Linked DNA regions of Pelodiscus sinensis. The protein of the gene in region 1 interacts with the protein of each later gene in a pairwise test. Links are inferred from orthologs where the notes say so. Each region holds a gene or a part of one and is shown in the gene's direction. Other genes may lie near its edges. The genes, in order: AP1M1, MTF1, AP1B1 and endosome-associated-trafficking regulator 1-like.

Evidence for each region.
Region 2: the proteins of AP1M1 (region 1) and MTF1 interact in binary tests that used the Homo sapiens proteins (3 or more experiments, as listed by UniProt). The two-hybrid records come from large-scale screens. The link is inferred for Pelodiscus sinensis from reciprocal best matches to the Homo sapiens genes AP1M1 and MTF1.
Region 3: the proteins of AP1M1 (region 1) and AP1B1 interact in a two-hybrid assay, tested with the Homo sapiens proteins (2 studies listed by BioGRID, with this or other methods). The link is inferred for Pelodiscus sinensis from reciprocal best matches to the Homo sapiens genes AP1M1 and AP1B1.
Region 4: the proteins of AP1M1 (region 1) and endosome-associated-trafficking regulator 1-like interact in binary tests that used the Homo sapiens proteins (3 or more experiments, as listed by UniProt). The two-hybrid records come from large-scale screens. The link is inferred for Pelodiscus sinensis from reciprocal best matches to the Homo sapiens genes AP1M1 and ENTR1.

The regions. Positions count from the first base shown.
Region 1 is NC_134729.1:31,353,849-31,361,520, reverse strand, and holds the start of AP1M1 (AP-1 complex subunit mu-1), read left to right. Parts: upstream 1-4,655; 5' UTR 4,656-4,799; coding exon 4,800-4,841; intron 4,842-5,211; exon of another isoform or gene 5,212-5,234; intron 5,235-6,573; coding exon 6,574-6,730; intron 6,731-7,185; coding exon 7,186-7,253; intron 7,254-7,672. UniProt on the Homo sapiens protein: Subunit of clathrin-associated adaptor protein complex 1 that plays a role in protein sorting in the trans-Golgi network (TGN) and endosomes.
Region 2 is NC_134735.1:10,618,863-10,626,547, reverse strand, and holds the start of MTF1 (metal regulatory transcription factor 1), read left to right. Parts: upstream 1-4,673; 5' UTR 4,674-4,800; exon of another isoform or gene 4,801-4,870; intron 4,871-4,940; exon of another isoform or gene 4,941-5,895; intron 5,896-6,025; 5' UTR 6,026-6,076; coding exon 6,077-6,487; intron 6,488-7,685. UniProt on the Homo sapiens protein: Zinc-dependent transcriptional regulator of cellular adaption to conditions of exposure to heavy metals. Binds to metal responsive elements (MRE) in promoters and activates the transcription of metallothionein genes like metallothionein-2/MT2A.
Region 3 is NC_134725.1:5,452,885-5,460,177, forward strand, and holds the start of AP1B1 (AP-1 complex subunit beta-1), read left to right. Parts: upstream 1-4,285; 5' UTR 4,286-4,381; intron 4,382-7,293. UniProt on the Homo sapiens protein: Subunit of clathrin-associated adaptor protein complex 1 that plays a role in protein sorting in the late-Golgi/trans-Golgi network (TGN) and/or endosomes.
Region 4 is NC_134711.1:91,806,117-91,813,723, forward strand, and holds endosome-associated-trafficking regulator 1-like, read left to right. Parts: upstream 1-4,596; 5' UTR 4,597-5,844; coding exon 5,845-6,996; 3' UTR 6,997-7,175; downstream 7,176-7,607. UniProt on the Homo sapiens protein: Endosome-associated protein that plays a role in membrane receptor sorting, cytokinesis and ciliogenesis. Involved in the endosome-to-plasma membrane trafficking and recycling of SNX27-retromer-dependent cargo proteins, such as GLUT1.

The DNA.
Region 1 (7,672 bases):
ACAATAATTAATTATGACAATATTGGGAGCAATAGTTTAATTGTTAACATTAATCTTGGGAGTTAATAAATAGAATCATAGAGGTCCCTTCCAGTCCTACATTTCGTAGTCCACAACTTCAGTCTCCTGTGCTGTGGCAGGCAAGTAAACTTAGCCTATACCTGATAGATATTTGGCCTCACTGTTTTCAAAAACTTGCAATGGAGGGAATGCTTAACCTCCCTTGGAAGCCTGTCCCAGAATTTAACTACATGGTTAGATTTAATTAATAGCTAATCTAAATCTTTATTACTGCAGATTAAGTCCATTGCTCCTTATCCTACATTTAGTGGACACAGAGCAACTAATCATGATCCTTAAATTTGGACAGCCCTTAACAAATTTGAAGTGTGTTGTCCGGTCCCCTCTCAGTTTTTTCAAGATAAAATATGGTCATATTATTTTAACCTTTCCTCATAGGTTTGTATTCCTAAATCTTTTATCATTTGTGTTGTTATCCTCTGAACGTCCTCTTGTTTGTCCACATCTTTCCTAAATTGGAGGACACAATTGGACACAATACTCCAGCTGAGGCCTCACCATTACTGCACAGGGCTGCCAACAGGGGAGGGCAAAGGGGGAAGCTGCCCCAGTGCCCTTCAATTTAAAAGGGCCTAGGACTTAAAGCCACTACCACTGCTTCCGTGGCAGTGGCTGGAGCCCCAAACTCTTTAAGGCTATGTCTACACTGCCATTTTTGCTGGCAGTGAGTATGCAAATGAGGCATGAATTAGTATATTGTTGCACCTCATTTGCATAATTTATTCAAGGTGTTTTTGCACAAAGGGTTTTTGTGGGGAAAAAAAGTAGTGTGGATGTATTCTTTTTGCACAAAAACACCTTTTCCCACCATATCCTTATGCCCCAAAAAAATGAGGTTTACTTATCTGGCGGGAAAATGGGTTTTTGTGCGAAAAGAAAATGTCCATACTACTTTTTTTTCCCTCACAAAAACCCTTTGTGCAAAAACGCCTTGCATAAATTCTGCAAATGAGACACTGGAATGTGCTCATTTGCATACTCACTGCTGGCATAACCGGCAGTGTAGATGTTGCCTAAGTTGCTGACAGGAACTGCAGCTCCAGCAGCATGATGCCATTTGCAAATTTTATACTCCTACTCTCCACTCCATTCTCCAAGTCATTGATGAAAATATTGAATAGTACTGGATGCAGGACTGGCTCCTGTAAGGACCCCGCTAGGTATATTCTTCCACTTTGACAGCAAACCTTTGATAATTGTGCTTTGAGTGTGTTTTTTTCTCTCTCTCATAAACACTCCGTATACTATTTCCATTTAGCCTGTGTTTTCCTGGCTTGCTTATGACAATGTTATGTGGGGCCTGCCAGAGGCCTTTGTAAAACCAAGAGCTATCACATTTCCTGCTACCTCACATCTAATTGGCTATCAAATACTAGAATTGGAAGCAACCTTGAGAGGTCATTGAGTCCAGTCAAGTCCCCTGCACTTGTGGCAGGATCAAATACCTGCCTCTATACTGTTCCTGACAGTTTGTTTTACCTGCTCCTTTGGTACAGGTTTCATTTGTTAGCAGGTTGACACTAATGGATACAGTCCAGACCAAAGGGGGACAGAAATGCTCCATTGCAATATTTATTGGCCAAACTGGACAGTCTCTATGGAAAAGAATTAATAGACACAAATCAGATATCCAAAAAGGCAATACACAGAAACTTGTTGGAGAACACTTTAATCTTCCTGGACACTCATTAATGGATCTCCAAGTTGCCATTTTGTTTCAAATCAGTTCCACAAGCCAAATACACAGAGAAGGGTTGGAACTTAACTTCATTTACAAGTTTAATTCTTATGCCAAGAGTATGATCCAGGGATGTCAGATGGCTTGAACATTATCTTCCGCATCTTAATGACTTAACTAACCAACCAATGAAGAAGCTTCAGGGGATAGCCAAGTTAGTCTGTACAGGATAAACTTAAAAAACAACAAATGGTCTTAGCACTTTAGAGACTAACAAAACATGTAGACGGTATCATGAGCTTTCAGGGGCACAGCCCACTTCTTCAGATGGTCATTGTAGTAAGTTGAGGGGCAGTAACATGGAGTCAGCAGGCCTAAGGTCTGTAACATGAAAACAGCAACAGGCCTGCAATCTAGTGAGCAAGACTTTAGTTCAGTAACTTAGATACTGATAACTGTGTAATTGTGTAAGTTAGGTCACAGGGCTGCACCAAGAACAGACTGTAAACCAAAAGGGAGTAACGGAACATCTTAAGGAATGTCCTGGTACAAAAACTCCCTAAAAACTAATGCACATATCGACCTAGGTTCAGGACCAGGTCAGAATTGACAGCATGAAGGATAGTAAGTAAGCCCCCCTTCCGTAAGGTGAGGGGTGGTATCTAGGCAACAGAGTGGTAACCAGTACGTAAAGAAATGATGTAAGTTGTTTATACCTGTCTATAAAAGGACACCGCAGAGGGTGCTCTCCGGCTGAACTTGGGGGGAGGGGGCGCACTAGGCACCTGAACAGCAGGTGTCATTGCCTAAACTTACAGAGTGCACAGTAGCTTAACTTTGAATAACTGCGGTTAATATCTGATATATGGCAATAGGCCTGCCTGGTGTTGGTACCTTGTCAACGAGGGCCATAGTGCCCAGTGGTGTAACATTGTACTGATCTCTGTTACCAACTGGTAGGCTGCATCTAGACTGGCAATTTTTTCCGCAAAAGCAGCTGCTTTTGTGGAAAAACTTGCCAGCTGTCTACACTGGCTGCTTGAATTTGTGCAAGAACACTGACGATCTAATGTAAGATTGTCAGTGTTCTTGCGCGAATACTATGCTTCTCCCGTTAGGGAAAAATGTATTTGCACAAGAGGGCCAGTGTAGACAGCTAAAAAGTGTTTTGCGCAAAAAAACCCTGATGGCGAAAATGGCGATCGGGGCTTTCTTGCGCAAAACCGCGTCTAGATTGGCACGGACGCTTTTCTGCAAAAAGTGCTTTTGCGCAAAAGCGTCCGTGCCAATCTACACGCTCTTTTCTGCAAATGCTTTTAACAGAAAAACTTTTCCGTTAAAAGCATTTGCGGAAAATCGTGCCAGTCTAGACGTAGCCGTAGAGCTTTGCATTTGACAAATAAACCTGCTCGATTGATTTTAAACCTTGCCTGCATCTGTCGTTCCCTGGGCCTCTCAGAGATCTGTGTTGACCCAAGTGCACGGGGTCTAACGCTCTAGATAAAGGGAGTACCAATTGTTACGCACGCAGCCGAAAGTTTATCATCACCAACGCAGAAGAGGTCCTGTCAGGAGCGCGCCAGGACGACCCTGACCAGACGACCCTGACACTGACAGTCCAGACCACTGAAGGTACTGAGGTACGAAGACACAGAGGTACCACAGTCATCTGAAGAAGTGGGCTGTGCCTATGCAAGCTCATGATACCATCTACATGTTTTGTTAGCACTTTATAGACTAAGACTATTTGTTGTTTTTAAGTTCAACCAATGAAGGTGATGATGGTTTTTTATGTCTGTAGAATCTGGTGTTAGTCATCTTCCTTTCCAAGTACTGTACAAACTAATGGGTCTTATCAGCCTCTTGTAACTATTTAGTCTTTTAAGGTGCTATTACACTATTTGTTGTTTTTTTAGTTTTTCCTGTTACAGACTTAACTCCGCTATTCCTCTGAAGCTTATCTACTCACTGTCTCTTTTTTTCTTCCCTCTCATTTTTTTCCTTCTCTCCCTTCTTCCTTTATTTATTCTTGTATCTGGACTTCCAATACTCCTGTCATTGGAAGAAGTGGGTTGTGCCCTTGAAAGCTCATGATACCATCTACATGTTTTGTTAGTCTTTAAGATGCTATTAGACCGTTTGTTTATTTTTTTCAAAGGGGGACAGTTAGTGGCATCCAAAAGGCCAAATAAGGAGCAGAAGTGACCAAAAGCAGAGATGTGTGTGTGGGGGCAGAGATGTGTGTGTGTGTGTGTGTGTGTGTGTGTGTGTGTGTGTGTGTGTGTGTGTGTGTGTGGAGGCTTTATTGGGGCCACCCTTAAGATTTATGGGATCCTTCACACTACCATTAAAGTGAGGCTCCTATACCCGATGGCAGCTGGGTGTATGATTTTTTAGAGAGGTCATTTTCTAATCTTCAGTAACACTAATGAAAGCTAATAATAGGTCTGGCCGGCTTTTTCCGTGTTAATTAGATGCTCTCTGGAGGAAGCAGAGCCCCAGGACGGGGAGAAGAAGAGGCAGGTGGGTGGACATGAAGGGCCATGGGGTGACCCCATTTTTGGGGTGTCTTATGCAACTGCATATTCTGCACAGGGGTGAGGTCAGTGCATGCCACAAGAGGATGGGGGGAAGGGGCAGAAAAACCTGCTTCTGCCCCTAGCCTCTAAGACTCCCACAGGCCTAGGAACCAGGCCCAGGTCTGCAGGGCCATGTCCCTCCTGGGAAGAAGCCAGGCGCCAGCCTGTTCCTCCAGCTCTCTATGGGCCGCTCAGGCTAGCGCGCCGCTTTGCGTCCCCCCGGCGACGGGGACCATAGAGAGCGCGGGCCAGAAGGGCGGGGGTGCATCCGCTCCCTCAGTCGCTTCCGCCGCAGGGCGTGTTTCCGCGGGAAGGCCCCGCCCCCTTCGCTGGTGTCCCTCCGCCCTGCCAGAGGCCTCTTCCGCCCCTGCAGCTGGCCTAGCCGGTGGAGAGCGGCAGCCGGAGCGGCCGCGTTTCCGGCCAGGAGCGGGGCCGCAGCGGCGCCGAGCAGCCGGGGCGCGATGTCCGCCAGCGCCGTGTACGTGCTGGACCTGAAGGGCAAGGTGCGGAGCCGGGGCGGCCTGGCCTGGGGTTCCCGCGCTGGGCTCGGGCCCCTCCGCATCCCTAGGGGCCCGGCGGGAGGGCTCAGGCTCTGACACCCCCATGCTCCCTCCCCACCTCGCTCGGTGCGTCCCCCTCCCCCGCCTGGGGTGGGGACCCCGGTTCCTCCAGCCTGCCCTGGGGCCTCAGGCGTGCCGGGAGCCTGCCGAGAATGCTGCCTTGCTTCAGCCGGAAGCTTTGGGCTAGACTTTGTGCTGCTGATCAGCTGCAGTGGTGCAGGAAGTGCTGGTTTTGGTAGCTGGCTCCCTTCCTCCTCCCGCTCTCCCTTCTGGGGCCTTTTATCCTCTTCCTTCGTGAATAAAAACTCATGCAAGTGAAGTGGGTTTGATTTTGGGGTAAGTGAAATGGAGATCACCACTGCTTGTGGAAACTGAAGCTACAGAGACACTTTAGCTAACTTTCCATATTTCATCGTATTCCATTTTGGGGTAATTAGATTTGGGGTAATTTCCTCCAGGGTAGATTGTCAGAGACCCTGGAGGTTTTTCGCCTTCCTGTGTAGCATGGAGCACAGATCAGAGCTGGAGGATTCTCTGCATCTTGGGGTCTTCAAAGTATTTGAAGGCTTCAATATCTGAGACATAGGTGAAAGGATTATTCTAAGAGGTGTGGGTGAGATTCTGTGGCCTGCACTGTGCAGGGGGTCAGACTAGATGATCATAATGGTCCCTTCTGACCTTAAAGTCTATGAGATTCTGCATATTTAAGTACATTCTGAGGTTTTGTTCTATCATCTAAGTATATTCTGTTCCCAACATTGATATTAGGGATGTGAACGGGTAACTGGTTACCAGGTAAGCATCACACTTAGGCTACGTCTAGACTACACCTCTCTGTCGACAGAGAGATGTAGATTACGCATGTCAAAATTGCTAATGAAGCAGGCATTTAAATCTCCCGTGCTTCATTAGCATAAATATGGCTGCTGCTTTTTTTTTTTTAAAACTGAGCTTTTTCCAAAAAAAGGCAGTCTAGACGTGGATCTGTTGAAAATAAACCCGTTTTCGACAGATCCTGTAAACCTCATTTTTTGAGGAATACAGGATCTGTTGAAAAAGGGTTTATTTTCGACAGACCCTCATCTAGACGGAGCTTTTTTGAAAAAACGGCAATTTCGAGGGGGGGGGGGCGGGAGCGGTGGCCATATTTATACTAATCAAGCGCGTGTGATATTTAAATCCCTGCTTCATTAGCAGTTTCGATGTGCGTAATCTACATCTCTCTGTCAACAGAGAGGTGTAGTCTAGGCGTAGCCTTAATGGGTGATACTCTACTGGGTAATGGTTAACCATTACCTGGAAGAGGTCCGCTGGCTATTCCAACTCTGTGGGGCTGAAAGGGGGACTGTTGGCTCCCAGCCCTTGTGGGATTGTGGAGTGTGAGTTAGACTGTGTGCCCCCATTTAATCATTTACTTGTTAACTTAATGTTTAACTGGTTAACTAATTAAACATGATGTTCCATCCCTAATTGATACATGCTATTTAATAGCTGCTGAATGGATTCTAAAAGCTATGCTTAAGTTGCGAATGAAAGATTTCAATGTACAGTTTGTCATTCAGTTAGTGAAGAATTTTGGGGTTCCACTGCCTAAAAGTACTTCCCATGTGTCAGATGATAACTTCAGCATTTGTTTTTAAAACCTATTCAGATTTCTGTTGCATGTCTATTGCAGGTCCTCATCTGCCGGAATTACCGTGGAGATGTGGATATGTCTGAGGTGGAGCACTTCATGCCAATTCTTATGGAAAAAGAGGAGGAGGGAACACTTTCTCCCATTCTAGCTCATGGAGGAGTACGTTTTATGTGGATTAAACACAACAATTTATATCGTATCCTTTAAAGTGTCAAACTGTTAGTATGGTGAAACTGATGAACATGGTGGATTTTCAGAATTTGTACTTGAATGGAAGTAATAGGATAACAGGCTTACTGCTAAGAATTTTATTGATCAAGATTTACAAAGATGCAAAAAATATATAAATAGGAGTTTTTTCATGACATACCTTATTCCAGTAACGTGTATAAAAGTGTTAAAGTGCCAATTTAATATAAGTATTTCCTGAATTTTTAGTCCTCTGCCCCCAGGAGTTAAACCATCAAAAATAACATAAACCCCAGAATTTTCAATATCAAATGACTCTGGAAAGAGGAATGTCATTGCTGCTTCCTTAATATTTGGGCCAGCTGTAATAATATAGTAAATGCGTTTTGAAAATGTATTTAATTATAAGCATTTTTTAAAAAGTGTAACTTTAAACTCCAATTCCTGAACATACTTTTTCAGTTGTTGCTACTTCTAAGAAGAATGCTTGTGTCTCTCTGGTGTTTTCATTTCTTTACAAGGTGGTTCAGGTGAGTATGGAAGTGATATTTGTTCATATAACTAAACATATGTTTTATGTAGATATGGAAATCTTTTAATTATGTAGTGCTGTGCAGAAATGGCATATTTGGATTATAGGTGGTTATATAAAGATCTTTCAGTGTTCGTTTCTGATGTTTATTTTGTGCTGTACAGGACAAGGATACTGACAATCTTATAATAAACAGGCACAGAAAATGATACAACATGAAAGCTAGATTCAAATATTGTGAGCTTTGTGAGCATTGTTGAGGAAGCAGATTTTTAGGATGTATTTCATTAATACATGACTTGCTGAGCTGGACTAGGGAGCCTATATTGCAGTTTTGTGGCAGCATAGAGTTGAGAAAAGAAACTAACAACCTTTGTATTTTGGAGTGAAGGGAATCAAAGTTCTTTAAACAAGACT
Region 2 (7,685 bases), on another chromosome or scaffold:
TATCTAGCTCTTTTTGAACCCTGTTAAAGTCCTGGTCTTCACAACATCCTCTGGCAAGGAGTTCCACAGGTTGACTGAATGTTATATAAAGAAGTACTTCCTTTTGTTTCATTAATGGACGGAATGGAGTGGGGGCAGTCTGGGGTTGAGTTGGGGGAATTTGGGGGTCTGAAAAAATGTAAATCAAAATGAAGTTTCTCAAGTTCCTAAAGTTTGAGAATCACTGCTTTCCACAATCAAGCCAACACTGAAATATATTCTTGCCTTTTTCCATTCTCGGGGTTACACTTGCCTGCTAAGCTGTGGCATGCACAAGGAAAAATCTGGTGCACAGCAGCTGACTGTAATAGGGCAGTATATTCTCTTTTGGCAGTGATGGTGATTAGCATCAATCACCCAAGGCCAGGATTTTTAAACTGACGAACATTTTCTTACTAATGTCTTTACTGCTTGTCTCACAGGCATCTTTGCTTCACCAAGAGCAAAGATGCAGGCGGCAGATGAGTTCAAATGTTGCTGTGCTTCACTTAGTTTCCCCTCAACATGAAATACATGAAATCTTCATGGGAATAGCTAAGTTAGTGCTCACAGTGTATAGCATAGGGATTACCATGAACCTCGTTAAACACGCTGGTTTCAGTGCAAAGGGAGGAGAAGGTCTTGGAGAGGTACGTGCTGTATTCTCATGCAGAAAAGGCTGACAAGAAAGTTTGCTGGGGGAGCTGCCTCCGCCCATCCGTGGCTCTGTGAACAAAGATGGATTTATATATAATGCCATTATTAGTTCTAGCAGAAATGAACCACCAATGTTCCCTCTAATTTTTTTCATCCGTGTGCAGAATAAATGTTATGTGTACCAAGGCATGTGTAAATGTGCACCACCATATTTTTCTATATGTTGGTGATCTGGGTACTCTGCTAATCAGCTGGGCGGCACCTTAATCTCTCCTGAGTGGCTGCCCAAGCGCACAGATACAGGGAACACTGGTCACCACCATGAAACAGCTTCAGCTCCAGGTCCCCAGTTCAATAGCGCCAAGCCTAAAGGTCAAAGTTGGTTAATGGCTCCCAGAGCACCAGAGAAGGGAGGTTAAAGTGAATCCTCCAATAAATTCTCTCCTCTGCTCTTTTGCTTTAGAAGCTGCACAGACCCAGACTGCATATGCCAGACTGGTTGGGTCTCTATAGTTCACAAGCAGGCCCTGCTAATGGTAAGAAGGGGCAAAAGGGAGCAGTTGTCCTGGGGGCTGGCAATTCAAAGGAACTCAGGGCTCCTGGCTGCTGCTACTACAGCAGCTGCGACGGCCAGAGCACCAGACCTTTTAAATTGCTGCCAGAGTGCCGTGTGTTCCGAGCAGCCTACAGGGCTGTGCTCCGGGTGGCACTGAGGCCAGCTTTGGCCCCTTCCACCAAATTCCCTATCGTCCCCTCCCAGGTGCCCTAGAATGCAGGGTGGAAGTAAGGACAGCTTTCCACTAACTCCCAGGGATGTCTCCCAGAACAGAAGGCTGTCATTTCCATGCCTGTGTTTGTAATACACCATTTGCCCTTCCTCCCCCTCCCACCAAAGCTCCTGCCCTGAACTCCTTTTCTGTCTCTTCTTCCTTGTGTTCCCTAAATGCAAATGAATGATTTCTCAACCGCAGTATCTGTATCAGGAAAGGAGGAGTTACAGGGTTTACCGACTAGTTAATGCAGGGGGCACCTCTTTAAGAGCAACATACTTGACTGTCATATTGCTGTCTGATCATTCACAAAGCTGTTTTTCAAAGCCTCTCTGATTTGCAGTGCCCCTTGATATGTTCTCCTCAATGCCTGGGTGCTCCTAATTAGCAACTAGGTGATCTGCTTTGCCCCCTCCCCCTCCTACCCCCTTCCCAGCATAACATTTTCCCCCTTAATTGCACAGATATTATGGAGCACAGAGCAGGCTGTCACAACAGGAGAATGTTGCTTTCACTGACATCTCACCTAGTCAATAAACTGCTGATCATCCCATAGCTGCACAACTTAATGGCCTACCAGTCTGTGTTTGTTTCACAGGACCAGAACCAGTGGTGTTCCACTGTGTCAAGAGGATCAACAGTTGCCAGCATCTGCCAATGGTTCCACTCAAGAGTTTCATATGTGTCTGTGTTCATGGCTTCCTCACAGTGTTCCTGGCTACATTCTGGATATAACACAGCATAAGGTGCAAGGTGTTTGCAATGATTACCACAGCAACTTGCAGCTGAACAGAGATCCATGTTTGCCTTGCTATGGCATTTGCTTGGATAACCAGGGGAAAAAGTGCACAAATAGATTGTTTACCATTGCAAGCGGGGGAGGGGAGGAGAAGAGATAAGTGCACCATGAGAGGCTGATGATATGGACCCAGAATTATGCGGGGCATTGTTTCTGTCCCCATCAGGCATTGGGTGCTTAACCCAGAATGCAAAGGGACAACAGGAACTATGGAATAGCTATTCACAGCGCATTGCTGTCAAAGTCAACGGTCGCCACCCTACTGGGGAGGCACTACATCGAATTTTTGCGCACAGTGGGGACATGCACCTTTGATTTTACAAAACTGTGTACTAATAAATCAACCTTAATAAATTAGACCCAATCTTGTAGTGTAGACATGGCCTCAGACATGAATAAGACAAGCTGAAATACAAAATTTGTAGGCTGAGGTCAGCAAGACTTTATCTTAGCTATTTTAGGTCTTGGAGAAAGGAAATTATGTAAATCAATGACTGAGAATAACCTGATGCCCTCATGGTATACCAAGTGTAATGATATACCAAGTAAAAAATTAATATTAGATCATAAAATACTGCCAAGTCGCATCTCAATCACAGGATACAGATTGTGTGTCAATGCTAAGGAGAACAAAGAGAATTTACAGAGCCTATAGAAAATTGGGCTCCCTTAGTTTCCTGGAGACACACTCATAAGTGAAAAGAGGGTTGACACTTTCACAGACATGTGTGGAATGTAGAGTGGTTGTATGCTATGTTCACCCTGTGCCAGCCTTAACCATTTCTACCGCTAGTACTATTAAAAGTTCAGTGTCTGTCTGTCTTGCCACGTTTAATTAGCTAAAATAGTTCAAAGTCTTTTTATTCTTTTTTTTTTAAACCATTCTGGGTTAGCATATGTAGATAAATAACACTTGTACCATCTAACTGAAATTATTTGGGCTGACGGCTGTAGGGGTATACAGGATCAGCTGAAAGCAGAATTTGGCTCATAATATTTACATAAACACATAGAAGATAGGATATTGATCCAGACAGATCTTTGGTCTGACCCAATATGGCCATTCTTAACAGTGGCCAGTGCCCGGTGCCTCATGCCCTAGAGGGAACAAACAGAATAGGTGATCACTTAGGGTATGTCTACACTGCATTCCTCTTTTGAGAAAGGAATGCAAATGCAGCTGAGCGAAATTGCAAATGAAGCGCGGATTTGATTTTCGCATGCTTCATTTGCATTCTTGCATCTGGGCGCTTTTTCAAAATACCCAATTTTGAAAAAAAATGCAGTCTAGATGGGGTTATTTAAAAAAAAAAACATTCTTTCAAAATAACTCTTAAATCTCATTTTTTAACGAGTAAGGGTTATTTTGAAAGAATGATTTTTTCTCAAAATAACCCCATCTAGACTGGGCTTTTTCTTTCAAAATAAGGTATTTCGAAAAAGCACCTGTATGCTATTATGCAAATGAAGCACGGGAAATTCAAATCCGCGCTTCATTTGCAATTTCGCTCAGCTGCATTTGCATTCCTCTCTCAAAAGAGGAATGCAGTGTAGACATACCCTGTCTAACCAGTGTAGACATTCCCTGTAATTTATTCCTAGCTTCTGCCACCAGAGGCTAGGGATGGTCTCTCCGCCTATATTTATGGCTCATAGCCATTCATGGACCTATACTCCAGGAATTTATCTAGTCCTTTTTTGAAGCCGTGTTATAGTTTTGTCCTTCACAACCCTCCTCTGGCAAGGAGTTCCACAGGTTGACTGGGTTGTGCAAAGAAATACTTCCTTTTGCATGGTTTAAAATTGCTGCCTATTGATTTCCTAGTTCAAGTGTTCACACCCCTCATGTTTTATACAGTGCAGGCCCGAACCATTCGCGCGCCCCGGGAGCATGGCACTGCCCCTGGGAGTGTGACGCATGCACAGCCCCGCCCCCGGGTGTGCGGTGCTCCCTGCCCCCAGAGCATGGCGCATGCGTAGCCCCCACCCCGGGCGTGCAGCGCATTTGTAGCCCCACTCCTGGTGCGCGGAGCATGTGCGGTGCCTCCCTCGCCCGGCCCGGCAGCCCCAAGTGGCGCCCCCTATAATCGGGTGCCCCGGCCGTACCCCGCCTCGCCCGTACCTTGGGCCGGCCCTGGTTTTACAGACCCCAGCCACTGCCCCCCCTTACTCCTCTCTTTTCCAAGCTGAAAAGTCCCAGTCTTATCCATCCCTCCTCATTGCTCCCTATTCCTCACACTCAGGCCCCACTCGCCAGCCCCAGCTGGCCACGCCCCGTTACATGAGGCCCCGCCCTCTTCTCTGGGCCACGCCCCTTATTCCATGAAGCCTCGCTGTCAACCGAACCACGCCCTCTCAACTGGCCCCGCCCCCCAGCCTCCCTCTCCTTTTCTTCTCAGGTCCCGCCCCCGTGCCACTTCCTCCTCGGGGACAGGGCCGGGGGGCCGGAAGGGGCGGGTGTTAGCGCGCTCGGCGAGTGCCGGAAGCGGAAGTGATGCGTGTGGGTAATCATGGTGCTGCTGGGAGGTTGCCGACGCCGCCGCTCCTGGGAGCTTGGTGAGAGCGGGGCGCGGCCAGAGCTGGGGGGCCGCGTGCGGGGCTCGCCGGCCGAGCCCGGCCCGCTCGGGTGAGCCAGCCGCCCGGGGGCCCGGCACGGGGCTGCAGCGCGAGGCAAACGTGAGGGGGACCCGGACAGCGCGGGGGGGGGGCGTGAGTGCGCAGCGCCGAGCGCGGGGCCCGGCCTCAGCCCGCGCCGCCCTGTCAGGAGCAGGCAGGCTCCGCGAGGGCCCGGCGCGCGCCCGCTTCCCTGCCCGGCTGCCGGGGCTCGCGGCCCGCCCTGGTGCGTCCCCTCCCCGGCCCCCGACAGGGCGCCCGAAGCTCGCGCCGCCGGCCCGAGGCAGCCTCCCCAGCGCTTGAGGAGCGAGGTCTGCGGCGCCGGGCGCCTTCGCTCTCCGCGTGTTTCGATGACACGCCCGGGAGCAGCCCTGTGAGGGTAACGTGCTGCGGGGGACTGTCTCTGGCTCGGGAGTTGGGACGGGCTGCGCTGTGCGGAGCCCCCCGCTCGGGGAATGGGGGGCACCAGGTACTGTGCGTGCTTAAAAAACAACCCATAGTCTGGTCGCACTTTATAGACCAACACCACACCTAGAACGGTATCGTGAGCGTTCCTGGGCACAGCTCATAGAATCATAGGACTGGAAGGGACCTCGAGAGGTCATCGAGTCCAGCCCCCCGCCCTCAAGGCAGGACCAAGCTCCGTCTACACCATCCCTGACAGATGTCTATCTAACCTGTTCTTAAATATCTCCAGAGAGGGAGATTCCACCACCTCCCTTGGCAATTTATTCCAATATTTGACCACCCTTCAATAAGGCGGTCCTCTCCCAAAGAGATTCCTGCTCGTTTTTTATCAGTTCAAGACAGCTGATTAACCTCTGGCAATATACAGTAATTTGCAGGTGACTTTTCATAAACTTCGCTAGAAAAGCCCCAATCGCAGTGGAGGGATGTTTCTTCTAAATCTGAAAGAACTGTAGGCCCCTTTTTCAGGTCGCATACCATATGTATTTTAGCGGACTTGGAGCACCTTTGAAAGTATTTTCTTGTGTCACCTGAATAAAAACTTTCCTGCACTACTTTTCTGAAAGCAAGGTAAGGTTTCTGGAAGTGAATTAATGGGGAGAAGAAATGTAAACGTGTTAGTTTGCACCCTTGAGAGTTTAGGTGAAAAGTCCTTGTCTAAATATTATGATATTCTTACACTTATGCTACTCTGTTACAGGTGAGTTGTTACATTTTAATTTCATGATGCTGCACTAAGTTCCATTAAACCATGGGGGAAAATACTCCCGAAGACAGCATTCACTACTATGATGGGGACGAAGACGAACTGATCCAAGATGATAAAATGATGAGGTTTATTGATAAAAATGGTCTAATTCCTTCATCATCTGGGACAATTTATGACAGGACAACTGTTCTAATTGAACAAGACCATGGGACATTAGAAGATGATGAGGATGAAGGACAATGTGGAGATCACTTGCCTTTTTTACCAGAGGGTCATGAAGGATTTCATTTAATAGAAGATCATGAAGGAATGTCCCAGGGTTATGTTCAACATATTATTTCTCCAGATCAGATTCATTTGACTATAAATCCTGGTTCAACTCCCATGCCAAGAAATATCGAAGGAGCTACTCTCACTTTGCAATCTGAGTGCCCAGAGACCAAGCGTAAAGAAGTAAGTGACCAACTATAATTGTAAAACTTGCCCTTGAGAGCTGATTATCTGGTGATCTCAAAGCACTTCACAGATATTAGTTGATTTTTTTTCCAAGTTGGTATTTAGCTGCACATTGAAGGAAAGCATATGCCTAAATCAACATCACTGTTTTGAAAATCTTAGCCATTAGGTTTAACTGCACAGTAGGTTCTGTACTTAGATACTTACCTACACAAGTTACTCAGGATCACACAGTGAGTCAACCAGAGTTAAGAATGTTTCAGGCTCTCCTGCTCTCACTTAGACCATATGCCTTATTATGTAACCGCAACTGTGTGAAAAGAAACTCAGTATGCTTCATGACAGTGCAGTTACTGTTAATTATAGGATAAAAGGTGACAGCTGTGGCAAATAGGGACCATGATAATACAGTTTGGACCTCCCTTGTCCAGCACCCTCAGGACCTAACTGGTCCTGAATGAGGGGATTTGCTGGACCAGGGGAGGTCCCTCTTCTTGTTGCCCTTGCTGCCACTGGACTAGGGCTCCAGCCTGGCCCCACTGCTGCCCCAGCTCCCTGGGGCTTTCTAGCTGCTGTCAGCTCCACTATTGCCGGGACCAGAGCAACACAGCTGGAGCTCCGCAGCTGCTTGGCTCTGTAGCTGGGACTCCAGCCGGGGTGGAGCAGGAGCTCCATGGCTGCCATTGGGGTTGCAGCTCCCTGGCTGTGGCTGGAGCTCCATGGCTTCTGGGGCTAGAACTACTCACCATGCTCTCCCCTCCCACGTGCTGGGCTTCCAGCTGAGGCGCTGGTCCCCTCTACCATGCTCCTGCCCCATGTTCAGACTTCCCTGTTCCTGTGGCTGTACCAAGTTTGGTTTAGGAAAAATTCTGCATCCCAATTAAGTGTGAAATTCCATCCCAATGTGATTTAAAACTTCTAAAATATTAAACCTTCATCAGCCACACTGATTTAAAACAGAAGCTTGACATAACCCTAGTTATGGTACTATTACCATTGTACAGTAAAACTCCAATTGTCCGGCATCCAGTGGTCCGGCACTCCTGATAGTCTAGCACCAACTGGAACCCGGAAGTGCTCTGGACAGTTGGAGCTGCTGTGAGCCCTATGGGCGCTCACAGCTGGTAAAGGGAAGGGAAGGGGAGAAGAGGGGAAGGGGATTATACCCCTGTGACGGGTCTGCTGGGACCCGCAC
Region 3 (7,293 bases), on another chromosome or scaffold:
CCTTTGGTTTGTTTGAAACCTGCTGCCTATCCATTTCATTGGGTGACCCCTCATTCTTATATGATGGGAACAAGTCCAGAACCTTTCCTTATTCACTTTCTCCACACCAGTCATGAGTTTATAGACCCCCCCATCATAGTCCATGTAGTCTCCTCTTTTCCAAGCTAAAAAGTCCCCGTCTTGTTTCTCTCTCTTCATATGAGACCTGTTCCAAACCCCTCATCATTCTGTTGCCCTTGTCTGAACCTTTTCCAATGCCAAGAGATCTTTTGGAGATGAGGCGACCACATCTGCACGCCGTATTCAAGCTGTGGGAGGCCTATGGGTTTACATAGAGGCAATAAGGTATTTTCTGTCTTATTCTCAATCCCTAGTGAGTCCTGTAACTACACCAGCACCTTCTGAAACTGACCTTGGGGCGGGCAATGCCTGTGAAATGGCTTCACCACCACAAGGAATGGCAATGGTTGTCCAGGGGCCCGGCCAGGCCGCTCCCTCTGGGGCCCCTGGCATTGGCCACTGTGGGCAGACAGGACCCTGGGCTTGATGGACCTTTGGTCTGACCCCGTCTGGCTGCTCTGATGTTAAATAAATTGGGACTCAAGGGGGTCCCAGCTCTTCCACCGCTGCATTTTCCAGGCTAAGCGTCCAACAGTGCGGCATAGAGGCGCCTGACCCTGCGGCACGTGGGGCTGCCTGAAGGAGTGCTGCCCGGTCTATCCACCAGATCGTACCCTTCTGGCCAGGGGGAGGACAAGGACTCTTACCCTCACAAAGGGCTTTCCAGCAGCATCCCTAGGGGTGCAGTTTTCCAAACGGCAGTGAAGTCAGCGACGGCAGGGCAGCAGCCCCTTCCTTTGCACATCCCTGCCCCGGTCCCAGAGGGGGCCCTGCAGAAGAACAAAGAAAAGGGTCACGTGAAAGAGTGTTGGGATTGAAAGTTTAAGCATAACAAGAGCTTGGCTCCTTTTGGCCCCTGCAATGCCTAGAAGCCAGCTCTGCTCTTCGCCGGCCTTGGGGCGAAGGGAGGGGGAAGGGGAGAGAATCTTGATATACCCAAAAGGGAGGCAGCACCTTTGGCTGCATGGATGCAAAGAACTACCTAGTTCTTATGAAAAACAGACATGAGGGGTCTGAGCAGGAGGCAGGGGAGGAGGGGCTGGAGAAAGGGCTGAGCATGGGGCACTTCAAGGGGGCTGAGGAGGGCAGGGGGAAGGGGCAGAGGGGTTCCCTGCTGACCCCGAAGGACTGGCCCTGGACTCCGACAGTGGAACCCGCATGAGTGGGGTGGCCGAAGGTGCAGCCCTAAGCCCCAAGGCCAACCCCGAGGGTCCGTGCCCCTGGGTCTGATGATATGGCCAGAGGATCCAAAAAGGCCATTGGGCAGGCAGCTGTCACTGTGGGGGCCGAGTCTGTGATGGAGACAGACTGGCCTTCCTTGAGTGGCACTGCGAGCAGGATCAGTGCTGGGACCGGTGCGGAGACCTTGACCAGCGTCACTTTGAGGAGCCGTCTGAAGATGCCCTAGATGTCATCAACTCCATGTGCGACTGAGGAGCACTCGGATGTGGACCACGGCAGTGCTGCAGAAGCTGCCTGCTCCCAGTGCTGGCAGTGGTGTGGCATGGCCGCCGGTTTCCCTCAGTGCGCCGGTGCCGAAGGGGGCAGTCACACGCTCCGGTGCTGAAAGCATCGGTGCCGGGAGGGCTGCACTCTGTACCAGCCCCGGTTCCTCTGTGCCATCACTACAGACGGTGCCGGACCAGACTTCCACACCGGTAGAGGAGGAAGTGGCACCATCCTGTCCCTGTCGCTCCTGGCCCCTCCGCACCACACAGCGTCGGGCCCAGGGAAGATGTAAGTTCAATCTATTCCCGGGCCGCCAGAAACAAATCCGGGGTTGACGGCTGTGGGACCCCTCAGGGCTACTCGCCTGCGCGGGACTCGACCTGTACCGATGGTGCGCGGGAGCGGCAATGGAGCCTCGGGGCGTCCCCCTCGCAGACGCAGCCCCGACCCGTCTCGAAGGTGATCTCCCTCTTCGTGCCTTCTTTGAGCGCTCGGTGCTGGGGACCGTGTGTCGCCCCAACGCACAGAGTGCCTCGACATGGACCCATGCCCCATGCCGGCCCGGGCGCTCCTCAGACGCTGGCTGCGGTGCCGCGGGTTAAAGCGCTGAAGTAACCTGAGTCTGGCGTCGCTCTCGTTTAGTCCTTGGTTGGAAGGTCTTGCAGACCCTGCGGGAGTCCGTTCGATGACCTGCGCCGAGGCGCTTCAAGCTCTCCTCGGGGGTCTCCGCAGGCATCGGGTCAGGCACCGCACGGCGTGAAGCCCTGGGCCCGGGGGGGGGGAAGGGAACTGCCTAGGGACTGCGCAAATCCACACAGGAGCCTCCCCGACACGCCTGTGGGACAGTACGGACACCGGTCAGAAGGGCTCGGTGGGCTCCTGGGGCGAGAGGAGCAAGGGGGGACAAGGGGGGGCGGGCTGGGGGGGCGCTGACCTGCCGGCGCCGCTCGGGGGGGGCTGGGGGGGGCGCTGACCTGCCGGCGCCGCTCGGGGGGGGGGCGGGGGGGGCGCTGACCTGCCGGCGCCGCTCGGAGGGAGGGCCGGGGGGGGGGGGGCGCTGACCTGCCGGCGCCGCTCGGGGGGGGCGCTGACCTGCCGGCGCCGCTCGGGGGGGCCGGGGGGGCGCTGACCTGCCGGCGCCGCTCGGGGGGGGGCGGGGGGGGGGGGCGCTGACCTGCCGGCGCCGCTCGGGGGGGGCGGGGGGGGCGCGCTGACCTGCCGGCGCCGCTCGGGGGGGGGCGCTGACCTGCCGGCGCCGCTCGGGGAGAGGGCCGGGGGGGGGGGCGCTGACCTGCCGGCGCCGCTCGGGGGGGGGGGGGGCGCTGACCTGCCGGCGCCGCTCGGGGGGGGCCGGGGGGGGCGCTGACCTGCCGGCGCCGCTCGGGGGGGCCGGGGGGGGCGCTGACCTGCCGGCGCCGCTCGGGGGGGGGCCGGGGGGGGGGGCGCGCTGACCTGCCGGCGCCGCTCGGGGGGGGGGCCGGGGGGGGCGCTGACCTGCCGGCGCCGCTCGGGGGGGGCCCTGGGGGGGGCGCTGACCTGCCGGCGCCGCTCGGGGGGGGCGCCGGGGGGGGCGCTGACCTGCCGGCGCCGCTCGGGGGGGGCCCTGGGGGGGGCGCTGACCTGCCGGCGCCGCTCGGGGGGGGGCCCTGGGGGGGGCGCTGACCTGCCGGCGCCGCTCGGGGGGGGCGCTGACCTGCCGGCGCCGCTCGGGGGGGGGCCCTGGGGGGGGCGCTGACCTGCCGGCGCCGCTCGGGGGGGGCCCGGGGGGGGGGCGCTGACCTGCCGGCGCCGCTCGGGGGGGGCCCTGGGGGGGGGGCGCTGACCTGCCGGCACCGCTCGGGGGGGCCCTGGGGGGGGGCGCTGACCTGCCGGCGCCGCTCGGGGGGGGGCCCTGGGGGGGGCGTTGACCTGCCGGCGCCGCTCGGGGGGGGCCGGGGGGGGCGCTGACCTGCCGGCGCCGCTCGGGGGGGGCCCTGGGGGGGGCGCTGACCTGCCGGCGCCGCTCGGGGGGGGCGCTGACCTGCCGGCGCCGCTCGGGGGGGGCCCTGGGGGGGGCGCTGACCTGCCGGCGCCGCTCGGGGGGGGCCGGGGGGGGGGGCGCTGACCTGCCGGCGCCGTTCGGGGGGGGCCCTGGGGGGGGCGCTGACCTGCCGGCGCCGCTCGGGGGGGGCCCGGGGGGGGGGCGCTGACCTGCCGGCGCCGCTCGGGGGGGGCCCTGGGGGGGGCGCTGACCTGCCGGCGCCGCTCGGGGGGGGCCCTGGGGGGGGCGCTGACCTGCCGGCGCCGTTCGGGGGGGGGGGGCGCTGACCTGCCGGCGCCGCTCGGGGGGGGGGGGGCGCTGACCTGCCGGCGCCGCTCGGGGGGGGGGGGTCCGGGGGGGGGGCGCTTCTCCCGCAAGCAAGGGCCCGGGCGGGGGGGGGCAGCCGGATCCCGCGCGGGGCCCTGCACGTGACGAGCAGCCGCGGCCGGGCCCGCGCGCCCAACGGCCGGGGCAGAGAACGCGCCGCCCCCAGCCACGCGCAGCGCAGCGCCCCGCCCCCTCTCGGCTGGGAGAGAGGCCCGACCGTTCAGCCCCCGCCCCTCCTCACTTGCCCGCCCGCGCGCGCTCCTGCCCCACGTGACGCCCCGCCCCTCCTCACCTGCCCGCCCGCGCGCGCTCCTGCCCCACGTGACGCCCCGCCCCTCCTCACCTGCCTGCCCGCGCGCTCCTACCCCACGTGACACCCCGCCCCTGCCCCGGAAGTGCTCCCCGCCCGGGCGCTCACTTCCGCGGGGCCGCTGGAGGCGCAGGCAGCGCAGGGAGCCGCGAGCGGTAGGTGGGGGGGCCCCGATCCCGGCCGCACGCGCCGAGCCGAGCCGTCCTCGGGCCAGTGCTGCCCCCGGGGGCTCGCCCGAGCGGCTGCGGCTCCTTCGCTTTCCCGCTCCCGGCGCCGCGCTGCGGGGGCTGCGGGGCCGGTGGGTCGGGGCTGCCTGGGCGACAGGCGGCGACTCCCCGTCCGGGCAGGGCCGCATCGATCCGCCTCCTGCGGTCACATCTGCGGGCGAGCCGTGCGCTCCTGCGCGGCCTCTCCGGCTTTGCTGCAGCGCAGGCTGCCCCGCCTCCCCCTGCAGGTGTCTCCCGGCGGCGGGGCCGGAGGCTACTGCTGCGACTAGGGATGTAAAATCCCATGGGTTAAACACTATCCAGTGCCCCTGCCCAAGCTTGCTGAGGAGGGGGGCTGCCCCACCTCCTGGCCACGGCCCCACCGGGCTTGAGCAATTCCCTGCTTGCTCCTGCCCCTGCCTGTTATCCATAGCCGGTAAGTATCCCCCAGTGAGGGCGATGCTTACTGGTTAACTGGTTATATCCCCAGCTGTGAGCCCTGCTCTCTGCAGGGTTTGGGGGCTTCTTTCCCCATTCCCACTTGTGCTTTTCTGAGGACTCAGGCCACCCCCTTCTCAACAGCTTCCCAGAGCTGAGGGCAGAGCAGCTGGTGGATTTGGGGAGCTTGATCGTTACGGGAAGGACTGTGTCAGTGGAAAAACTGGTGTCTGGGCACGCGAGACTCCATGCTCATGTTGGAGAGGGCTAGACTTGTCCCGTGTAGAAATCCGTTGACCTCAGCTGGGCTTCTTGGGGTATAAATGTGGCTTATAGGCTGCTTTCTCACAGCTGCTGTGGTGGGCTCTGCATGCCACTGGAACATGGCACTCGCTACCTGCCTTACTCCAGCAGCAGAGGCATGGGCTGCAAAGTTGCCAGTCGGCAAAGCGCTGGTTTGGGAGAGGAAGTGCCCTGTGTGTATGTTCTGTGGCAGCTAACGCTACTGAAGAGTTGGTGATGGCAGAAAACTGGCACACTCCGGCTCAGCTAGTGGAACTGCCTGCTAGAGGTGTATGTTCTAGGGATGTTAAATTGCAGTTACTCAACTACAGTAGTTGATGGAATTTCCATGAACTACTCGATTAGTTGATGAAGGGGGAAACTGCAGAGCTGCAGTGGGACCCCTCTACAGCTCTGCCTTTTAGATGTATATTAAGTGCCGGATGCATTTAAAAGGCAGAGCTGCAGCAAGGGGAACCAGGCGAGAGCCGGGACAGCTGATTCCTGGTCCCCATGCTACGCCTCTGCCTCCCCTGCCCCCCAGGCAGCAAGGGTGGTGGAAGCGACTAGTTGAGTCTCTGCATGCTTATCAGGTAGTCGACTAGTTGCTTACATCCCTAGTACGTTCTGCTGTGGCTGGGCTCCTCCCCTGCTCACCTTCTAGGATTCCGACAGCTCGTCGGATGCGGGTCAGATGTAACTTGATTTCGCTGCCACCCAGAGGCGTGCATAGCAGCACGGTCTAGGGCAGCTGTTCCTTGATCTGAGGGCTGGCTGGGCTTGCCTCCTCTGGCTGATGGGTTCAGTGGTGCTTTAGAGACCACTGCGCTGTGGTGCCTGCCCTTTACCTTGTCTCTGAATGCCTGGAGGTCGGTGAGGCCTAGGAGACCCTACTGTTTGTATTGGAGTCCCGGTGTGCTAGATGCTGCCCACACACAGTAAGTACTACAGTCCCTTCCCCAGAAAGCTTATGGTCTATGCAGATAAATCGAAGGATTGCAAGGGAAACTGAGGCACCGAGCTTTACTGTGACTTGCTGCAGGTCAGGGGCAGAGTCAGCATTCCACTGTGAGTGTTCCACTTGTTCTCACTAGTGTGCTAGAAGCGGCTTTCCAAGCGGTCTAATCGCCATGTTTGTGACTTCAGACCATCTTGCTTGTCCTCAGATGCTCACTTCTCTCTGCCTCTCCTCTCTCTCTGGAAAGTCAGCACTGTCGTCATTAAAAGCTCAACATCGTCCACCGTAAGCTCTGTTAACCCTCTGCCCCAAACAGCCAGGCTGTTATTCAGCAGAGTTCCTAGAGTGAAACCTGAGCTTGTGGTTTGTGGCTCCCACCTGACTTGTGGTTTCTGGTTTGTGAGCAACACAAACCTCTGCAGCCTAGAGTCACAGAGCACCGAGTTCCCTGCTGCTGTCAGGGCCACCACGGCGCAGGCTCAGCAGGAGCTCTCGCAGCTTGGGATGGCAGTCGATTGTTAAAGAAACTGTAACCGGGCACTGGAGTTGGGGCAGGGCTTCTCATTTGCCTCTGGGGTAGAAGGAGCCCTGGAATCTCAGGGTCACTGGCTTCTTTCCATCATTCAACTTGACTCCCAGAATTCCTGGCTTCACATTCTAGCCTGCTCAAGTAGCCGGGACCAAGTCTCGGGTCACAGCCATGTTGTCAGGGTTGAGGCTTGGCTGCTTACAGCCTTGTCCAGGTGTTCTGGAGAGGAGAACAGAGTTCCACTAAAATGAGTTGCTTTAAAGTTTGGTATCCGTCTGTTTCCTTATAATGCGCACGTGTGGCCCCCTTCTGTGACGTAGTGGGGGTACTTGCTGGGCTGTGGTGACCCCTGCTGTCTGGAGCAAGACCCAGCAGGGAAAACCTCACTATGCAAAGGTGATGCCAAACTGGTTGAACCAGATACCCCCCATGGAGAGGAACAAAGGAAGGTGAAGGCTGCCCTGGCTGGGGGGGCAGGGCTGGAGGAGAGTGAGTTTAGTTGGTGTCTGGGAGCATGGAGGAGACAGCCTAGGGAAAGGGACTGGAGTTTAGGGGTCCAGTCTCCCCCATCTCAAGGGGGCCTGAGGCATCCTAGCCCAGCTCTGTGACCAGATTCCATCTGTGCTGTGCTGTATCCTGGAGAGGCAATAAACT
Region 4 (7,607 bases), on another chromosome or scaffold:
ACTCGACTACCTGATAAATTTAGGCTTATCGGGTAGTTGACTAGTCTACTACTCACTAACATCCCTAATCTAAAGCAAGTGCAAACCATGACTGCCAAGGAGAGAAGGAATCCTTTCCTAGCAGCATGGAACAATGAGATGAATGTCCTTTTTGCAAATTTCCCAACCAAGAAACGTATTTATTAGTAATAAATGACCAGTGGTCGGGGTTCTGTTATGCTAAGTGCTCTGTACACACAGAGTGACACTTCCTGCTGCCCCACTCAAAAGTTCACAATCTAAGTAGACAAGACAGACAAAAAGTGGCCCTAATGATTGTTAAGCTTCAAAAGGCTATTTCTACAGGCCCTTGGAATTACTATGGTCAGCCAGAGAGTAGCCTCTTGTAAGCATTTGAATATCTTTAAGATACAGTGCCCGATCCTTCACTGATGTAAATAGAAAGAGCTTCATTGAAGTCAATTCTGAGCTCTACCAGCAGTGGTGCTAATCCTTAATATGCTTTCAATATCACTGTCACATCACAAATGTGCTTATTTTCCATCTGTCAATGGACTATCCAAGCAATGCTCAGAGTCCCTCAAGAACCCATGAGCCAGTGGCAACCTTAGATTGTAAAGTCTTCAGGATTGGTCCTGTGTCTTTGTAGGGTTGCCCAGTGCCTGGAAGACTAACCCTAGCCTCTAAGCACTCCCAAAATACAACTAAGAAAGGGCAATAACAATTTCTCCTGTGTGTGGCACAGAGAAGGTGCAACTTAAAATTCTCTTGAACCGTTTTAACTTAATTCTATTTTTAAGTTGCTTTTGGAGGGGAAGGTGCCAAATAAAGGAACTGACCTAGGTAAGGTGCCCATTTTTAGAAGACTATGCGCACCAATTTTACCCCCACAATGTGAATTCCGTTTCGTGCTTTAAAAAGCGATCGAGCCATGGCACTACTGGGTCTGTCAAATGTGACTCTTTCTGCATGGATGTTAGCGGGCACAGTGGTGCAGCTGAATGGCATTTGGGCCTGTGCCCCTCACGCATGCTAGGCACACAGGACAGTGCATCTCTTGGGTCACTCTTCTAGAGATGACTGACGGTTACTTGCACCCTTCTAGTCAAGCATGCATTGTGCAACAGGGGTCTGAGACAAAGCCCTTTATTCTTCCCTTTCCCCCTTCTCTGTCTTCAAAACTTTCTCTCTCTCTCTCTCTTTGCACTTCTGCTCCTTTCTCTATTTCTTTCTCTCCATCTCTTTCTCCCCATCTCATCTGTCTCTCCAGATCCTAGCCTACCTCGATGTTTCGCTTGCTCTCTCTCCCCCAGTTTTGGAAGCCATTAGCAAGTTAACATCTGCCCCAACACCTGCCACATTCCCTCTCTCAGCCATCACCTATTGCTTCTCCTCTCCGCAAAGAGTCACAGGGAACACTGGAGTATGTGTCTAGTTATTCTCAGCATGATCTTTGCATGACCCATGCAAATGGTGCCTCAATTAACATGGGTTGTGCGTGTCAGGGCGGGGCAGGGTGAGGGGAGGGAAGAGGCGTGGGAGCTGGCAAAAGCCAGAGGTGGCTAAGCTGCTTTAACCTTTTTGCATCTTTCCCTCTGACTTTGTGTGCGTCCCTCTCTAGCTGTATTTTCTTCCCCTCTCTCCCTCCCTCCCTTCAGTATGTGGGCTGATCACTGCTCAAACTTTTAATTCAGATGGTAATTGGAATAATAATACGGGCAGAGCCCTTCTGGCTCTGTTGCTGCAGCTGGCTTCAGGGAGCTATGAATAGCTCTGAGTCACACACACTGCGCTGGTTTCACTTCAAATCATTTTGTTTTGTTTTCATATCCCCCCATCTCCATCCCCAGGGCTTCAAGGAAAAGAGTTCCCCCTCACGCTACCCCAAAATACAAACCAGGCAAAGGTCTGTCAATAAAATCCCATTTTGGGCACCAGAGAATGGGATGCCTAACGAAATCAGTCAATTAATGAAGGCTTGGAGGGCAGATGGGGTTTGCTGGCATCTATTTATAATTATGGAACGAAAAGGCATACGTGCATGTGCAAAAATAGTGCACAGTTGATTGCAGCTTCCTTCCTCCGCTCACCTTCCACCTGTCATGTTTCTTCTCAGATTGTAAGATGTTTGAGGTAGGGGCTCTGTCTTCATTCGTGTTTGTACAGCATGTAGCACAATGGGACCTCCGCGTATTGTCGAGATGCATAAGAACAACATAACACAAAAATAGCCATACCAGGTCAGATCAATGATCCAGCTAGCCCAGTATTCTGTCTTCTAACAATGGCCTGTGCCGGTGCTTCAGAAGGAATGAACACAACAGGGCAATTATTGATTGAGCTCAGTCATCCCATGTCATTCAGTCTCAGCTCCTGGCATTCAGAGGCCTATAGACATCCAAAGCATCCCTGACCATCTTGGCTAATAGCTGTTGATGGACCTGTCCTCCATGAATTTATCTAATTCTTTTTTGAACCCAGTTATAGTTTTGCCCTTCACAGCAGTCCCTAGCAATGAGTTCCACAGGTTGCCTATGCAAAAAAGTATTTTCTTTTGTTTTAAATCTGCTGCCTATTCATTGTATTGGGTGTTCTTGCTTTCTTGTGTTATGTGAAGGGGTAAGAATACTTTCACTTTCTCCGTACCATTCATGATTTTACAGACCTCTAGCATATCTCCTCTTAATTGTCCCTTTTCCAAGTCGAACAGTCCCAGACTTTTTAATATCTCCATACCTGGAGGCTGTTCCATACCCTTAATTTTTTTTCCCCTCCTCTGCACCTTTTCTATTTCTAAACTATCTTTTTTGAGATTGGGCAAATCAGACTTGCCTGCATTATACAAAGTGGGAGGTGTACCATGGATTTATAAAGTGGCATTATGATATTTACAAACTTATTTTCTATCCCTTTCCTAATAGATCCGAACATTCTGTTAGCTATTTGTCTGTCACTGCACACTAAGCAGATGGTTTCAGAGAACCATCCACAATGACTCCAAGATCTCTTTTTGGAGTGGTAGCAGCTAATTTAGATCCCATCATTTTGTATGTATAACTGGGGTTATATTTTCCGGAGTTAATTTTTTTGCATATCAACATTGAATTTCATCTGCCAGTTTGTCGCCCAGTCACCAAGTTTTATGAGAGATCTTTGTAATTCTTTACCCTCTGCTTTGGATTTAATTATCTTGAGTAGTTTTGTATACTAGCACACTTTGCCACCTCTTTGTTTACTCCTTTTTCCAGTTCATTTATTAAACAAATAATTAAGATGATGGGATCTGAGTTCTATGTGCAGTTCCATAGTTCTATGCCCATTTTTCTGTGATGGTCCAAAGAACCACAGGTCTTTTCCACATGTTCAAATTCTATATCTGTATTTCACCAGCCGGGCAGCTCCAGCAATAGTAGCACTGGCAGGAGTGCTTTGTACTATAGGGTTCAGAGTAGGATTAGACAACACAGCGGTAAAAATATCTGTGCCTTTTACACGCTTGTGCTGTCACCACTGCAGTCATAGAGGGTGGTGCACCAGTGGTAAATTACGGTAAGGAAGTTTCCTTGCACAGGCATAGCTGAAGTGCATAGCAAAATGGCAACCAGGAAATCCTTGCTGGCCACAGATCTGTTACATTATTTATCACCCCCAAATGCAAGACCTAGGAGGGAGAGAATTAACTTGGGGGGCTGGAAGAGAGTATGTGAGGGGGGTTTAGGCCGTGGATGAAATCAGGACAAGACAGGGTGGCTTAGTGGTTTAAGTGTAACCCACACATGGAGTCTTTGTTTCCCTCTGGTGGATGGCACATGTGTGAGGTCAGTGGGTCAGCTAAATGTGGGGAGTCAGTCCTGTAGCTGTGGCAATCACATGGCAGCAGACCAGGCTTATAGGTCCTGAAGATCTAGGGTTCATACCCAGCGGATAGCACATATAGGGTGAGTTACAAGAGCGATGCTCAGTGTGGGGCTTGTACTCCTGTAGCCCTCAGAGGCTTAAGATGATCATCTTCAAGCAGCATAGTCTGTGACCCCTACTAGCAGAGCGGAGGTCACTGTTTTTCTCAGAGGCATCAGGTATGTAAATCACCATTATTTTTCCCTCCAGAACCATTGGGTTGAATCCTAGAGTCAGCCCTTCATCCTTTGGAGGTAATTAAACTGGGGCCAGAGGTGTTTTAGATGAGACCTTCCTGTCATAGGCGACTCGTGGTAGCACTTGCGAGGTGCTCTGCCTCCCTTGGCCCTTGTCAAAATCATAATGGGATACCTCCTAATGCCCCCTCCCTGTTCCTCTGTGTGGCCCTCCTTGTACCCCTTCCCCACAGGCACCAGTCCCTATGCTTCCTGCTTCCTCTCTCTCCATGGGCAGTAAACCCCTGGGCACTTTTTGCATGAGCAGACTTGTGCGCCTGTGCCCTCAGGCCAGTGTTTCCCAATTTTATTTGGCCACGGAACCCTTTTAAACTCGAAAGAATGTTGTGGAACCCCTAACAGTCTAATATATGGAGCTGAAAAAGTAGACCACAACTAAGTAAGGATAATAATAAACAAATGCTAAACAAGGTCATGAGATCAACATTTAGTTTAATTGCACATATTTAAAAACAAAAATCACATAATATTATTATTTTTTTTTAATCATAAAATGTTATTGTAACGGAATTTTCTCGCGGAGCCCTTATTTTCACTCACGGAATCCCGGGGTTTCGTGGAACACCATTTGGGAAACACTCTCTCAGGCATTATGCCCTCTCCTTCCCTGTGGTGCAGTGCCTCGCGCCCCAGTTGGCTGCCATCGTCCCACCTGCCCTACAAGAGATGACTGCAGTTCGATGGTTGTGTGTAGCTATAAGGCCGTTAGAAATTAAATGTGTTTTATTTTGTCTCTGGGGAACCATTTGGCTCCTTCTGCTATTTTCTTCTCCTCCTCATGTGTCACGTAGCTGATAAGTGATATTGGTAAATGATCATATTATCATATAGCCGATAATGCCCATTTTGACACAGTGCATGTTTTTATTAAAATCAGCTCCAAATGCTTCCCCTCGCCTCAATCCTCTCCTCCCATGAACGTCCCTCCTCATCTTTGTGGCCTTATTCCTTTGCCATGATCATCCTCATCTCATGCCTTACAACCAGTCCTGCTGGCCTAAATCCCCATGTTGTGTAGTCTTCAGTGACCTTATCTTCCTGCCATGAGATCCTTCTGCCCTGATCCCTGGGCTGACCTTTGGTTCTGCCCATTAGACATGATCCCCTTTACCTTAAGGCTCCTCCTCTGAATCCTTCCCCAACCTTATTCCCACTGCCCAGATCCCAGATGGCTTTGCTGTTCTTGTCCTGAGCCTGCGTCAGTTCCTGGGTTCTAACACACACGCGCGCACACAGTCAAGTCTGTTAATGAACAACCCCATGGCATCGAGTCCCAGGGTACGGAACGGGGCTATCACAGGTGACCCGGCTTTTCATATTCTTGACAGTTATTTGTATAGTTTAGCCTCATTGGCTGAAATGCTGTGAACGTTGGTCTGGCTGTTTCTCTTTCCCCTGGCTGCGAAGTCACAACATGAAATGCACTTGTCTGATGACATCACAGACCTAGGTGACTTCTGCTCCCTCCATTATTAAAGCCACAGGCACATGCACACATGGCGATGATTTAAGTACAGATACTTCTGTAACCCACTGCTGCACTTCGAATGGTGCTGAGGCTAAGACAGCTGCTCCAGAGGATGGCACAAAAGTGGGCAGCACAGGCAGTCCTGTCAGAGAAGGGCTCTACCCAGTGCTTGAGCTAATTTGCAGACTGCTATTTCATTTGGAGGCCCACAGCCCCTCAAAAATGCCACGACCCCTTCTCTCAGGGACATTGGAGAGGGCCTGTCCACAGTCCCAAAGCCTAGATAACGAGGAGGAGGAGGAACCCATATGCTGTTACCCCCATCTCCCTCCACCTCCTCCAGCCCATACTAAGAGCCCCATCAGTTCAGGGGACCATCACCTGGAAGATCCAGATGGAGCTATTCCATGTTCCTTAAAGGGATTTGTAAAAACGAAGACTCGTGGCATCGCAAAGGAGGAAGAGTTGAAAAATAGAATGTTTGCAAAGAAACTGGCCAGACACAACCTAGGCCTCGAAGATGATTCCTTATCTCCAGAAGCATTGGGCTTGAGCTTGGAATTTCAGGAGCCATTTTACAAAGACCTACCAATGGCTGGTACCTTATCAGAGGATGAGGATGATGACTGGAGTGGGAGTTATCACCACCCTGCTGCTGAAAGAGTCCACAAGTCCAGGTTTGCCTCCATGGGACCATGTAGTCCACATGATTCTTTATATCACACCACAGCCCAAGAGTTTGAAATTGAGACATTTGCTCCCTGCTGCCATCCTAGCAACTTGTATGTTTCCTGCACAGCTCATGACAAGGCGCCTGAGAATTGTGCTCTTCGGGAAGATTCCATAGGAGACAGGGAGTATCCATCTCTGCAGCTGAGCTACGAAGAGCTCAGAGAGGAGAATTCCATGCTCAGAAGGAAGATCAAAAGTATCCAGAGCTTCTCAGAAAATCAGACACGCTTGGTGAGAAACCTTGAGAGAAGACTGAGAGCCAGCGTGGTCAAAGAGGAGAAAGAGGCTCAGGGTTTAGAATCCATTGTCCAGCAGGCAGAACGGAATCTGCAGTTGATGACCCAGAGGGCCATGAAGGCAGAAAATAAGATTGCAAAGCTGAAGCAGGAAATGTCCCTTCTCCAGGTGGAGTTGGAGAGTTCCAAGACAGAGAATGACACTCTGCGCACAGGCCAATCTGCCAGCCTGGGGGCAGTGAAACAAAATGTAGATGTTGCCTTGCAGAATCTCTGCCGGGTTATAGCCAATGCGCACTTGTCAATCAAACAGCTGGTCTCGGGAGCGGAAATGCTGCATTTTGTGGCTGACCTCCTCAAATCCATAGACAAGATTTCTGAAATCAAAAAGGAAGATGATGAATGAAAAAGCACTTAGGCACATCCACCTGTGAGTGTCTGGCCTGAGATCAAACTGTTCCCAGACAGCGGTCAGGACTGAAAATGTTTGCTGTCATATGCTGAAACATTGCATGTCTTCAAATAGGTGGCCTTTATCCCTTCCAGAAGTACTTTTATTGTAATTAAATATGAATTCCATGTGCTAATGAGGTGTTGGCCGCGGGTGCTCACATGCTGGGAGAATTAATTCTTTGTCCTGCCCTTGTCGGAGGTTTTGTGTCAAGATATTTTGCTGGCTTTGGGCTATAGTAAACCTGAGCCCACATTGGGACAGGGGTTGCACTGGGGCTCTGTACCAGCAGGAGGCCCTGCAGATGTCCTGGCTGACTCAACCAGAGCTCTTTCATGGGAGCTGGGACAGAGTACACCAGAAGGGGTTGTTACTCTTTACCAGACAGAAGTTTACACTCCTACCTGGCTGGGCCTCAGTTCTCCATGTATCTCACCTGATCCTCCTCCCGTTCCCATGCCCCATTGGTGGCTTGGGGAATGCAAAGAACCAAGTTCTGGGCACTTTTGCACTGGGTTACAACAAAGGGAAAGCTCTTTATATCCTCTCAGCACTTGAACTCAGGG